Linked DNA regions of Nothobranchius furzeri. The protein of the gene in region 1 interacts with the protein of each later gene in a pairwise test. Links are inferred from orthologs where the notes say so. Each region holds a gene or a part of one and is shown in the gene's direction. Other genes may lie near its edges. The genes, in order: zmynd19, enox1 and tnfaip1.

The links.
Region 2: the proteins of zmynd19 (region 1) and enox1 interact in binary tests that used the Homo sapiens proteins (3 or more experiments, as listed by UniProt). The two-hybrid records come from large-scale screens. The link is inferred for Nothobranchius furzeri from reciprocal best matches to the Homo sapiens genes ZMYND19 and ENOX1.
Region 3: the proteins of zmynd19 (region 1) and tnfaip1 interact in binary tests that used the Homo sapiens proteins (3 or more experiments, as listed by UniProt). The two-hybrid records come from large-scale screens. The link is inferred for Nothobranchius furzeri from reciprocal best matches to the Homo sapiens genes ZMYND19 and TNFAIP1.

What each region holds. Positions count from the first base shown.
Region 1 is NC_091746.1:54,510,012-54,514,254, reverse strand, and holds the start of zmynd19 (zinc finger MYND domain-containing protein 19), read left to right. Parts: upstream 1-1,425; 5' UTR 1,426-1,606; coding exon 1,607-1,657; intron 1,658-2,922; coding exon 2,923-2,982; intron 2,983-3,077; coding exon 3,078-3,184; intron 3,185-3,676; coding exon 3,677-3,817; intron 3,818-3,995; coding exon 3,996-4,176; intron 4,177-4,243. UniProt on the Homo sapiens protein: May be involved as a regulatory molecule in GPR24/MCH-R1 signaling.
Region 2 is NC_091754.1:35,044,234-35,048,272, forward strand, and holds the start of enox1 (ecto-NOX disulfide-thiol exchanger 1), read left to right. Parts: upstream 1-1,193; 5' UTR 1,194-1,944; intron 1,945-4,039. UniProt on the Homo sapiens protein: Probably acts as a terminal oxidase of plasma electron transport from cytosolic NAD(P)H via hydroquinones to acceptors at the cell surface.
Region 3 is NC_091753.1:22,424,300-22,428,345, forward strand, and holds the start of tnfaip1 (BTB/POZ domain-containing adapter for CUL3-mediated RhoA degradation protein 2), read left to right. Parts: upstream 1-1,245; 5' UTR 1,246-1,579; intron 1,580-4,046. Other genes in the region: ift20 (intraflagellar transport protein 20 homolog), read right to left, coding at 1-53, 186-271, 386-512. UniProt on the Homo sapiens protein: Substrate-specific adapter of a BCR (BTB-CUL3-RBX1) E3 ubiquitin-protein ligase complex involved in regulation of cytoskeleton structure.

The sequences.
Region 1 (4,243 bases):
TCCTGGACGCTAAACCAACAACAGCATTCCCCGTCGCAAGTCAAGATGGGTGAGGTCATTAATGTCAAGAAACAGTGTGATGTAGTGCTGTCACACCTTTTAAATTCTAGTGTAGCATTTCACCGTCTATTTTTTTTTTCAAAAAGTATATTTTATTGCATTTTCAGTTAACTGTACATCTTTCACACATTATTATGTTGTATACTGAAAGTACATTCTGTATAAAATCTTAATGGAACAACAGAACAACAGAACAATTTAACAATTTTGGTTGTGCTTCTGGCGATACTCTTCACCATCTATTTTATATCATTGGGAAGGAAATAGATGTAGGACACAATTTTCACGTTTAGCCTACACGTTAAACTCAGAATGACCTATGTTTTTCAAAAACAATAAGTCAAAAATGCTTTCTCTGTGAAGGACCTCTTTAAAGGTGACTAATCAGGATAAATGATTTATACAGATTCATGTATTTCCATGTACAATGAAATTCTTCGCTGCTTGCAATGGATGCCAAAAGTATATGTCAGAAAGGGTTATAGTTTTGGCACTTCTACAAGATCCATTTGTAAAGTTACCCCACTCTTATTTTGGTGGTCCAGTTTGTGACATCACTTCCTCTAGATAGTCCCACTCTATCACAGTATAATTTAGGTTTTTAAACAAATAAGATAAAAAAGAAGCAACAAATCAATCAAAACTATTAACTCTACCAAAGTTACAGCACCATTATTCATGTGCAAGTGAAATAAGTGTCCATAGAGGGAGTGGATGGGGTCTTTGAAGATGGAGGTGACTGTCCTGTTGACTCAGTGGTTATTGGTGGTGGTGATGCTGCTCCCGTACCAAACCTTATCACACAGAGATGCAACAGATCTAATTGACTCAATGATGCAGCTGTAGAAGATGCTGAGGATTCTGAGTGACAAACTTCCTCAGCCCCCTAGGAAGTACAGTAGCTGTGTGGAGCCTTCTTTAATGACTGTGTGGTGTTCAATGCACAGGTGAGGTCCTCACTGATGTGGACCCCCAGGTATTTAAAGTCAAGAAGCATTGTTACAAAAAAACAAATAATCAGCCAAACACAACCCATTTTGCTTTTATATGACAACATTTATAACAATGTTTATTCTTTATAAGTTCATGTTTAATTTTAAATGAAAGCTTTTAGAAAACGGAGATTCCTCCCCTTCAGTGGCACAGAGCCGCCAAAGATTTCGCGCGAAAATGATTGGAAGTGATCACGAGAGAGCATTGACGTCTAAGTTAAAATAGGCAGTCTTAAACGTTTGTGTAATTCTATTGGGCGCAAGGACAGGGCATCGCAGACTAAAACGTGTTTCGATTGGTTGGTTGGAATAGTGGCTCATTCCTTCGATAACCCCGCCTCTCACCACAGCTCGCCCAGCTTTCGTGCTCCAGCGGCCGTGTGTCACCGAGGCTGGGCTGCGGCCGGAGAGACCTGGAGGTAGGGCAGTCACTACACTGAACCCAGAAGTTGCATCGCATCGGGGCAGACGGGCTGCCCTGGCGAGTTCTACACCCCGAAAACCGCCAAGGTTGGATTCTACGCCTCGTTGTGTCAACACCACCCGTCCTCCTGATGTCGGATTTCAAGCTCGGGATTGTTCGGCTCGGCCGTGTGGCCGGGAAGGTGAGCTGGATCCCAGTGCTGCCATGTGCGGCCCGTGGGGAATGCGGAAACCTCAAGTAAATACACTGTTAACGGCAATTTATCGATGCCAGTCAGCTGCCGTAATGATAATGGTGCCGTTGAGGGCGCGGGAGTGGGCTAGTTGTACCGTTTCAGAGTCGTTTGAGCGGATTAGAAAAGCCGGCCGCGTCGAGCCAGAGCCAGTCTGCTCTTCTCTACTCCACCGCTATCACTGTCTTCCTTCAAGCTAACACTAGCTAGCATGTCCGTTAGCTGGTTTACTTCCAGTAACAAAACGTCTACCTGAAACGTGAACACAAACTATTTGTGCTTTTGTTGCTGCTGACACTGTCGTGGCTCGTGGCTGGTTGGGGGTGTGGTGTGACAAGGAGAACTGACATTTTATCTTGTAGCGGATAGGTTAGCATCACCAGATTAGCCGTTAGCCATGGCATCTGGATTAGACAGGAGCTGACAACTAATGAGGGAATCGGTGCCTTGCTTCATCAACGCTAGCCCGTGGTAACATAACACCGGCATAGCAATGCTGCGCTCCACACCTCGGGGCTAAAGTATTGTGATTTATTCCGTTCAAATAACGTAATTGCCTCAGATACACGTGACTTTAAATCGGGGCAGGATGCTGGTGTTGACACCCCTGGCTGCTGCTGCTGTCACTGCTGTCACAAGACACGCAGGATAAACTGCTGTCACCAGTCTTGCATCTCATCCGGCTGAGTGACAGTTTTCCTCTGGTTGAAACGTTTTTATATTTAGTTTTAAAACAGATAATTACGCCTTGTTTCATGCCGTTATTAAACCTCTGGTAGGTTGAAACAGGATAAAACTAGTCATTATTGTGGGTAAGTGTATTATAACTTTTACACACTTGGTCAGTTCAGGATTTGACCTGCAACAAAGGGATTGCAGGTCAAATACATATGCGTCTGAGTGGTGTCATCCTCTGTTTATCTTGCAAACATCAGGTGTGTTGCAAATTTTGAACTGGCACAGATCACTTGATTTAAATCTTTTATAGAGGATGAGCTTGAACCATCAACTGGTAGTGAGTGGAAGTTCTGAAAAGCCCTTTCTAAAAATTTCAACTTGTGGTTTTACTAATAGACGAGCTTAAAAATTGGGTATTTGCTGGCGGCATATTGGATAGTGTTTTTTCATTAAAATCCATTCAAAGTATGTTATGATCACAGCTGTAGATTTTATTGTGAAACTCAAATCATGTCTTCAATTTTTCTCCATTTCAGACAAAATACACTCTGATTGATGAGCAGGACATACCACTTGTGGAAAACTATGCCTTTGAGGTAAACTATCAGAATGTTTTGTACCCCGTTTCCCATTTTTATCGCTAACCACAGCCAAGAAGTTTAAAACGGCTACATTTTCCCTCTATTTTTAGGCACGCATGGAGGTAGATGCAGATGGCAATGGTGCTAAGATCTTTGCTTATGCTTTTGACATCGGAAAAGGCCGCTGGGCAGGAAGACCTCTGCATGAGCTACTCTGGTAAGTCTTTTGTTTTCTACAAAAACAAGATGTTCTCTGTGAGCAAAAATGAATAGTTAACATTATCTTCTATATTTAAGTCTTTATTCCTTGACTTGTAGTAGGAAAAGCCTTGAACCTGAACCAGATTGATAAGAACTTCTGAAAAGAGAAACTGATTCTGTGTACGCCAGGAAAAAATACATCATAAATGCTAAAAAAGCAAACATCAACATTTAAATGGATCCTATACAATGGAAAGTTTTAGCTTGAATCTCCCATACCTAATGAGGACAAATCAACCATCTATATTTCCTTTACAAGAATCTTAAAGGTCATTGGTGTTTAGGCTATTTTGCAGCAAATATTAAAACCATCCTTGTTATCCATTAAGTGCATCTGTAGACTTCAAAAACCAGAAATTTCCCCTGGAGGGTAGGGTTAGCTGTATGTTTAAATAAATCCTCAGTAACTCTGAATGAACCAGTTCTTGATTTCTTTGCTTTTAACCAGGGAGAAGCACAGGGGAGGCATTGCCCCTAGTTTTCAAGTGATTCACATCAACTCCGTAACCGTCGACAACCGGTTAGACAACCTTCGACTGGTGCCGGTGGGCTGGAGCCCCAAGCCGGAGGAGATTTCCAGCAAGCAAAGGTGAGACCACTTATGAATTCTGCTGAAAGGCATGGGGGCAAAAATACTAAACATTCCTGAGAGGACTTCGGTAGCTGACGTTGAGTCACTACCATGACTCACATGTTGAGAACCATACTGATTCTAGCAGTATGGTGGACAATAACTGATGTCTTCTGTGTTTTTGTTTTCCTCCTAGAGAGCAGTCTCTGTACTGGCTGGCCATCCAGCAGGTCCCAGCCGACCCGGTGGAGGAGCAGTACCTAGAGCTAAGCCGCACGCGCTACTACAATGCTAACGGGGAGCTAGTGGAGGAAGAGGAGTGCTCCTGCACTTATTACGAGTGTCATTACCCCCCTTGTTCACTAATTGAGAGGAGGGTGTGTACTGAAAGTTCCGATGTTGATTAAAAAAAAACTTTACTCATTCATTTAGCAGGAACATCAA
Region 2 (4,039 bases), on another chromosome or scaffold:
CACTTTGAGTTTGGTCATCTTTTTGATGCTAATATTGAGGATCTGGGGCATGAACTGCATCAGTTCAAGAGACTTTTGGATAGAAAAATAAAGACTGGTGTGGTTGAAAAGCTTTCTGATACAGTGGAGTTGATCCGTTTCACAAGGAGGTATTTTACGAGTTCTTTAGACTGTGCAAAATCGCAGTTGCACTCCCAGTAAGTTCTGCCTCTTGTGAGCGGAGTTTTTCAACATTAAAATTAGTAAAAACCTACCTCCGGTCTACCACTACAGATGAGCGCCTTAGCAATCTAGGGGTGCTAAGCATTGAATCCAGAAGGGCCAAGGCTCTGAATCTTGAAGCATTTGTAGACCGTTTTGCAAGACAGCACAAACGTAGAATACTGTTATTGTAATGGGACAGATTACTGTGTGACCAATTACTGTCACATCTTGATGATGATTTATGCTGTAAAACTAAATCAGCAAAAACTTACACAAAAGAAGTGTGTGTGTGTGTGTGTGTGTGTGTGTGTGTGTGTGTGTGTGTGTGTGTGTGTGTGTGTGTGTGTGTGTGTGTGTGTGTGTGTGTGTGTGTGTGTGTGTGTGTGTGTGTGTGTGTGTGTGTGTGTGTGTGTGTGTGTGTGTGTGTGTGTGTGTGTGTGTGTGAGTGAGTGAATGTTTATTTTTCATATGTACAGTTCATGTGCAGATATTTTATTTGTTTGAATGTTTATTTTTCATATGTACAGTTCATATAATCTTCTAATAAAGTCACAAACTATAATAATTGACTAGAATTGTTTTTTTTACTCAAGTCTCATGTTACTGTGAAGCATTCAGAATTGTTATCTGAGTACCATAAAAACATGCCAGTTTTACTTTCACAAGTAAACCATTACTGCATTTGCCGTAATAGTTTACTTGTTCATTGTCTTTTATTATGATTTTTTTTTCTTGTGCCCCCATGAAAAAATACTGGCCCCACTGTGGCCCCCCTGGAAAATTTGGTCTAGAACCGCCCCTGTTGTTGTGTTTCACCATCTGAGTTTCCTCAGGAAATAAAGCTGGGGTTTTCTGTTCAGATGTTAGTTCAGAGATTAAGTTTGTCTGTGGTTTCTGGTTTGGAGAAGAACAAAACACTTCCCAGATTAATAATCATGTCAGGTATGAATGCAGCCTGACTCAGCCAGCTCCTACGTGCCTCCTGCAGCCGTCCGATGGGAATCTCTGAGAATGAGGAAACTTTGTTGAGACAACAAACATTCATGTGTCAACCTGACTCACCAAGAAGCTCCTTGGCTGGATGTGGGAATGCCAGCCTGTTAGCTTCTAGAGCAGGAGTTTTGTTGGTTACACACTAAATGGTTAAATCTATTCAAATCTAAATAGGAAGTAAAATCTGATCCAGAAAATCTGAATGTGACATTTTAAAACCGAACGTTGTAACATGTGAATCCAGACTAACAAAATAAAAGCAGGAGATCCTCTGTCTGGAACAAAAGGATCAGGACTTTCCTGATCTATGAGCGTTTTTCTCTGGTTCATCCATCCATGAACTGTCTGAGTCTAAATATTCCCACATAGTTATTCATTCATTTGGATTTGAATGATGAATTAATTAAGCTGCTAATCTCGGCTCCTTTTCGGTTCGTTTGTGGTGAAGTTTGATCAGGTTTCATCTGACTAAACCATTTTATTACCATCTACTTCCTCCGCGGTACCAGCTCTCACCGGTCGGTACCTCCAGTCTGAGCCCAGACCTGGCCGTCGTGCACGTGTCGAGCGCGCGCCCTTGGGTTCTCCGTCCTCCTCCAGCAGCAGCAGCAGCATCAGCACCAGCAGCTGCTCTCTGAGAGAAAGCGCACGCAGGATTTGTCTCCAGCTTCGCCAGAACCGGGATTTACCGTCTTCCCGCCCGCACATTCCGCCGCTCCGCGTCGGATCCTCCCGGTTCCTGACCCGGTAAGGAGGAAGTAAGCTCTGCTGAGTGTCTGCTGACATTAAAACCGTTGTTTTCCGGTGGAGCCCCGCTCGGTGCTCGAGCCCACATCTGCGGAAGAACAGAAGCTTCTTTTGTTTGCTTTCAAGTTGATGTGACGTGATGTTGGGATGTGAGGTTTCTCCTGGAGCGGAGCGCGAACCTTGTTTTTATTCAGAGGAGGCAGGATGCTCCCGCAGCTCCGATCTGGGGCTTTAACTGAATACTCACCCAAAGTCAGAGTCGCTAAAGAAATGCATGAAAAAGTGTGAATAACGAAGAGAGAAAGTGACCAGATAGGAGCAGACCCGGGTTCTCTCAAATGTCCGGTGGCGGTCCTGATGCTGTCCGCAACAATGTCCACTTGCAGGGCTGAAATCTGCTGCTGCTGCTGTGTGGGCATGCGTGCGTGTGAGTGTGTGTGTGCGCGCGCCCGTGTGTGTATGTGTGTGTGTGCGTGCGTGTGCGTGCGCATGTGTGTGGCCGTGTGTGTGTGTGTGTGTGTATCGGGTGAGTTGGTGGAGGAGAGGATGCCCTTGCTTTGAAGTCACCTTGGCCCTTGAGCAGCATCAGTCCACCTCCCCTCCTGTCAGCCGGAGGCTTTTATCTGAGTATTTTAGATAAACAAGGGAAGTTTGGTGTCAGATAAAAGCATCAGAAGCTGAGGAGCAGGAGGTGGACTCCTGTGGCTTACTCGAGTAGAAAAAGTAAAAGTGTAACTCAGCCCTGAAGCAAGGCACAGAGTCATTTTAACAGCATTCAGGCTCAGTGCAGCACGTTCATGTTGGCTCATAAACACAGAGCTCCTGGTAACTCGTCACCACGGCAACCCTCCTCAGCATCGTGTGAAGGCAGCATCAGGGAGTGTCAGTAACAAACCTATAATCTGATAACGCTTACCGAAACACGGGTTCTCTTATAAATCAGGCTGAATCTTTGTTTTTATAAGACGTTTATGTTTTATCCTCTCAGATCGATGGTAGTGTGTTCTGCTGCTGACTCATAATCTGTGGATTAGAACTTAATCCGACACATTATTTGTGCTCATGAACAGGTTTGTGTGAAGTCTGTAAATGTTCATGCACACTATCCTGTATGTGTGTGTGTGTGTGTGTGTGTGTGTGTGTGTGTGTGTGTGTGTGTGTGCAGGATGCAGGACATTCTACTCTTGTTCTTTTATTCGTGTTGCTAACAAACGTGTCAATCTAATCCAAGATGGCGACCACATCATATATACACCCAGGTCTACACGTGGTAGCTGAGAGCCAACAACACACACTCCAATCAGATGGCTGCATTATCAACTGTTTGCAAACATCCTGGAACCATAACACGAGTGTAGTGAATCTGTTTTGGACTCCAGTGAAGATGAAGAATTTTATAATGATGAGAACGTTCTAATCCGAGCTCTTGGATGGATACTTCCGGGTTACGAGAGGTGTCCGATCGTCTGTGAAAGAGTGTCATTAAACAGTAAACCCCAGGAGACACTGGGAGTACAGACAGCACTCATCATCATCATCATCATGATCAGCAACAAACAGCTCCTCGGTTGTCTGCAGGCAAACATCCTGCTGTTCCATGATGAGCTGACATGATGGTGTGATTGCTGAGTCGCTGCAGCAGAATCTGATACCCTCGTCCCAGTGGCGGCTGGGGGCAAGGCCAGGCTGGTTCTGAGAGCGACTGCAGACGCCAGATTTCCCAGAGGTTGTTGGGGAGAACATGGCTGACGGGGTTTCACATAAAAACACGTGCACAGGCAGAAGAATCCTCTGACTGGACCAAAAATCTCGACAGAATTCTTCTGTTGAGATTTCGTGTTTTGCATCTCATTACACCGTGTGGCAAACAGCAGCCTGTTAGCTTCCGTAATGCGATTATCCATCCTCCTCGAGTCTTTTGCAGATCCTGCCACGCCACCTCACAAACAGTAATTGACCCCACGCTGCAGAGCTCAATGGGGACGTCTGCCGCTAATTGTGGTGGTATTTTCAGATACGGTGAGAGCATTAGACTGTGTTCCACCACAGGAAGAATTACTCACAGGAGATGTCTGCGCCAGCTCTATTCTTCTCT
Region 3 (4,046 bases), on another chromosome or scaffold:
TGGGCTTCTCTTTGTTTTGCCACAGACTTCAGCAAGTTTCTGGCTCCAATCGCCTACAGGACAGGATGATGAGTAATAAGTTCTGCTTACACATGATTAGAGCATAAACCCGATACCACTAAAAGTTTCACAGAATCAGGAGAGAAAACAGGGACATACAAAGCTGCTTTCTGTGTCAGACTTACCTTCATCTTCTCCGTTTCTGCTTCTTTTGCCAGTTCGTCCACCAGCTCGATTAGACCACCCACGGTCTTCTGAAACTGTCCAATTTCTGCAACAGAGGAGACAATTTTGCACACACTGTTGAGGCTGGTGATGATGAAAGGGAATAAATAGTTGGAAAAGTGTGGGGGTGGGGATGAGGACGTAAAATCTCCATGCTTACTGTCTACAAAGTCCTTGCACTCTTCTTTAAGCTCTGACGTCTTGTGGCTGACATCAGGCTCTAGCACCCGCAGCTTGTTCAGGTCATCAAAATAAAACCCTGCCTCTGCGAGTGGGTCTTTAGCCATGGCCAGAGGCCTGTCATCAACGACAGATGCAACTTAGTTTAGTAATATCAGATAGTTTGTAGGATAATATACCTAACAGGTAACACCCCATTATCATCATAATACACACAAGAGCAGGTTCAAAACAAACAGAAGTAAAACACATTATTTTACTAAAGATGTTCAAGTGCAAACCTTTCGGTAAAGCAGGATTCCTTCTACTCTAGTGCTTAAATTAACAGCACCTTAAATTAACCTCGGCTGAATGAAAGTTCATGTGTCACCAAATGAAAGATTATGCTTTTATTTTGTTTCGGTCATGTTAAGAACTCCCCAGCTAGATGATTTAAGTTAGCTAGCATAGCTAGATGTTTCAAAAATGCCACAAATTGTTTTCTGTCACCACTTCATAATAGATGACCAGTTTTTATGAAGATAAGAAACACAAATGTGTATGTTTTACCTGTTACAGTCGTGAGCTGATAGGCTTTATCCCGTGTGATGTGGCAGAGCAGATGAACTAGCAGCTAAGCTCCTCCTGTCGCTGCCAAGGAAACCAAACAGCTACAGCTGTGTCGGGGTCTTTGGGGGTGGTCGTTTTCCCCTATCCTTCTTAATTATCATAACAAAACTATTCACTGTTTCGTTACAACGCTGTCCCCTATGTTTTTTCCGTTTGAATACTTTACCGGTGTGTTACGTCAACATGAGTTCCTCTAGGGTGGGTGGAGGACTCGTATCGAGGTAACACCGGAGAACGGGAGTGACATGTTTATCGTAATGTTTTTAGAACTGTGACCAAGTCAGTCGCTCAGTGACATAAATGATCTAAAATTTAAATCTAAAAAAAAAAATTAAATAAAAAAAAAGCCCAACTATATGTTGTTTCTCTTATCTACTGTGGGTGTTCCACCCCAATGCGGAAGGTGACGGTAATGAACCGAAAAAGCAGTTCGCTAACAGCCATTCCAGAAAAAGAACAAGAAACGGATACGTCTGTTTTGTTTTCTTTCTTTTTTAAAATCATTTAAAACTCCATTTGTTTATTGTTGTTGTAAATATTACTTAAAATCATAAAAAAGAGGACGGTGAGTAACTAAAGCTTACAGACTCATACCGTGTTTAGGATCAACTGTAGGATCCAGTTTGGCCATTTTTTACTTTTCCTTAGTTTATTGAAGTTTTACCTCGTGATCACGAATATTCAGGAGTTAGTTTTCCGTTTACTAGAAATGCATTTAATGCAAACAGCGATATCGTTTCAGTGCGTTCAGCTTCTAATATTTGATCTGTTGTTTATCTGCTTTTCTGAGTTTTTGGCTAATGTTAGCGGGACATGCTAACAAGATACAGTAAAACGAATAAACATACAGCATAAAAGCTTTAGTTTCCACTGACCTGTGCTATTCTGAACTGAAACTGTATATCAGAGTTAACACGCATGTGAAACTAAATATTGTGTTTACACGGAGTTTAGTTATCATCACCTAACCTAACTGTTACTGGGCCCCAAACTATTTTTTTATCGGAATTTTTTAGCAGCCACACAACTTTAACCAGAAAGCAGCAGCTTCCATCTTAAGCTAAACTGATTGTTTTGGGACAAGAGTAAATGAAAAACTCCCTACTGGAGCCTCATAGGTGTTTTGGATCTGTTGGACTTCAGATAAACTGGTGCACCATCTATCTGAGACGGAAACAGGAAGTACACAGTACGATGTCCTCTGAAAATGACTACAACCGCATTACCAAATAATCTCTCAAAAATAAACATTAAACTTTGACGTATTCGTTTAAATAACAACTAAGGTATTTTATCAAGTGCTTTTAACTGAGAATGATACAAATAGTTATGAATCACAGGAGCTATTAGATGTTTAAAGTGTAACAGAAAGAGAATTTTAAAGTGTTTGGTTGTTTTATTAAACACTTTGTGTTCTTTAAGGTTCAAACACCTCCTGTAGACCATGTGAAAAGTCTAATAAGAAAATAAAAGAACAATAAAACTGAAAATAAGGAAGGCTGGAGCATTCAGGTGAGTAAAGGTTTATTAGGTGTGAGTAGGGATCCACAATATATCACAAATAAGTCGTTATCGCAATATCAGCATGCGCAATATGCATATCGCAAAGAACAGGTAAATACAGCAATGAATGGTCAGCTCAGATGTTTGCTACACATAATGCATTCTGTCAATCAAGCAGAAGCATTATGTTTTTTAAACAAATCAAATAGAGCTCTTTGGCATATTGGGTGGGTTCTCATAGGTTAGATGTCCGCCCCTGAGGCAGACGGCACTTAATTTTGATGGTTAGCAAACACCTGAGTTAGCTTTGTTCTGCTCTTTCTGCTTTTCCCGGGATCCACTGATTGCCTTTTATTGTTCATTTTATTTTTCCCTTTCCTCACATCTTTTGCTTTTCTCATTTTTATGATTTCTTTTTGTAATTTATTAATTTTGATTATTTTTGTTGCTGAGTTGAGTTTTTAATTATCGCAAGTCATATCGTCATTGCAATATTAGTCACTGTTATCGCATATCTCAGGTTTTCCTAATATCCTAGGTGTGAGTTAAAAGGACTAACGTTTCAACACTATGTGTCTTCGTCAGAGTTATGACATTGGTTACTCTGACGAAGACACATAGTGTCAAAACGTCCTTTTTACTTGCACCCAATAAACCTTTACTCACCTTGAGTCGTCCAGCCTTCCAGCTTTTCATTCAGTGTTCACCGGCTGTGGAGCACCGACCTGTGAGGGGTTGATACGCAGAGGGCTCCATTCCCTAACAATAATAAGACATTTTAGTGCTGTTTCTGATTTTTTAAAACACAATTTGGTGCAGAGTGAAAGATTGACCCATTATCTTCTTCAGTTAATCTAAGTGAAATTGAGGCATTCACTCAGAACTCAAACAACAGATTAGATCACCTCCACTTCGGTTATGTTCATGCACAGCCTCAAAAATCAGCTGTTAACATCATTCATGCAGAAATAAGTACACAGGAAGGAAACCGTTTCAGTGAGCTGAAACATGCAACACATTAGGATCACATGGTTCTTAAAGCCTCCACTGAGTTGTGACCGTCAGAACATGATCTGGTGTGTTTTATAGGTGGACAGGTAGAGACCCACTGGACCCACTTCCAGTAGGATCTGTCTTTCTTTCTTTCTTTCTTTCTTTCTTTCTTTCTTTCTTTCTTTCTTTCTTTCTTTCTTTATTCTTTCTTTATTCATTCATTCATTCAGACATTTAACCTTCTTTTAGATTGAATTGACTATTTGCTGTGAGCCAGAGAAACTGTGCCTCTTCCACAAATTTCTTCTTAGAGGCTGTAGCCAACCTTTGCAGTCAGACTTGTCTGAGAAGGACCTGCAGCTTTCTGAGTGTCTTTTGCAGCTCCGTGTGGTGATTTCATCTTCACTTGATATTTAAAGAGCCTCCAGGAGCTCTGTGCCCTCTCGGTGAGAACAGCCAGGTCGGTTAAAAACACTTATGTGTAGATCACTTTTAACACTTGAATGCTTTAGTCTTTGACGTGGTCTTATTTCCAC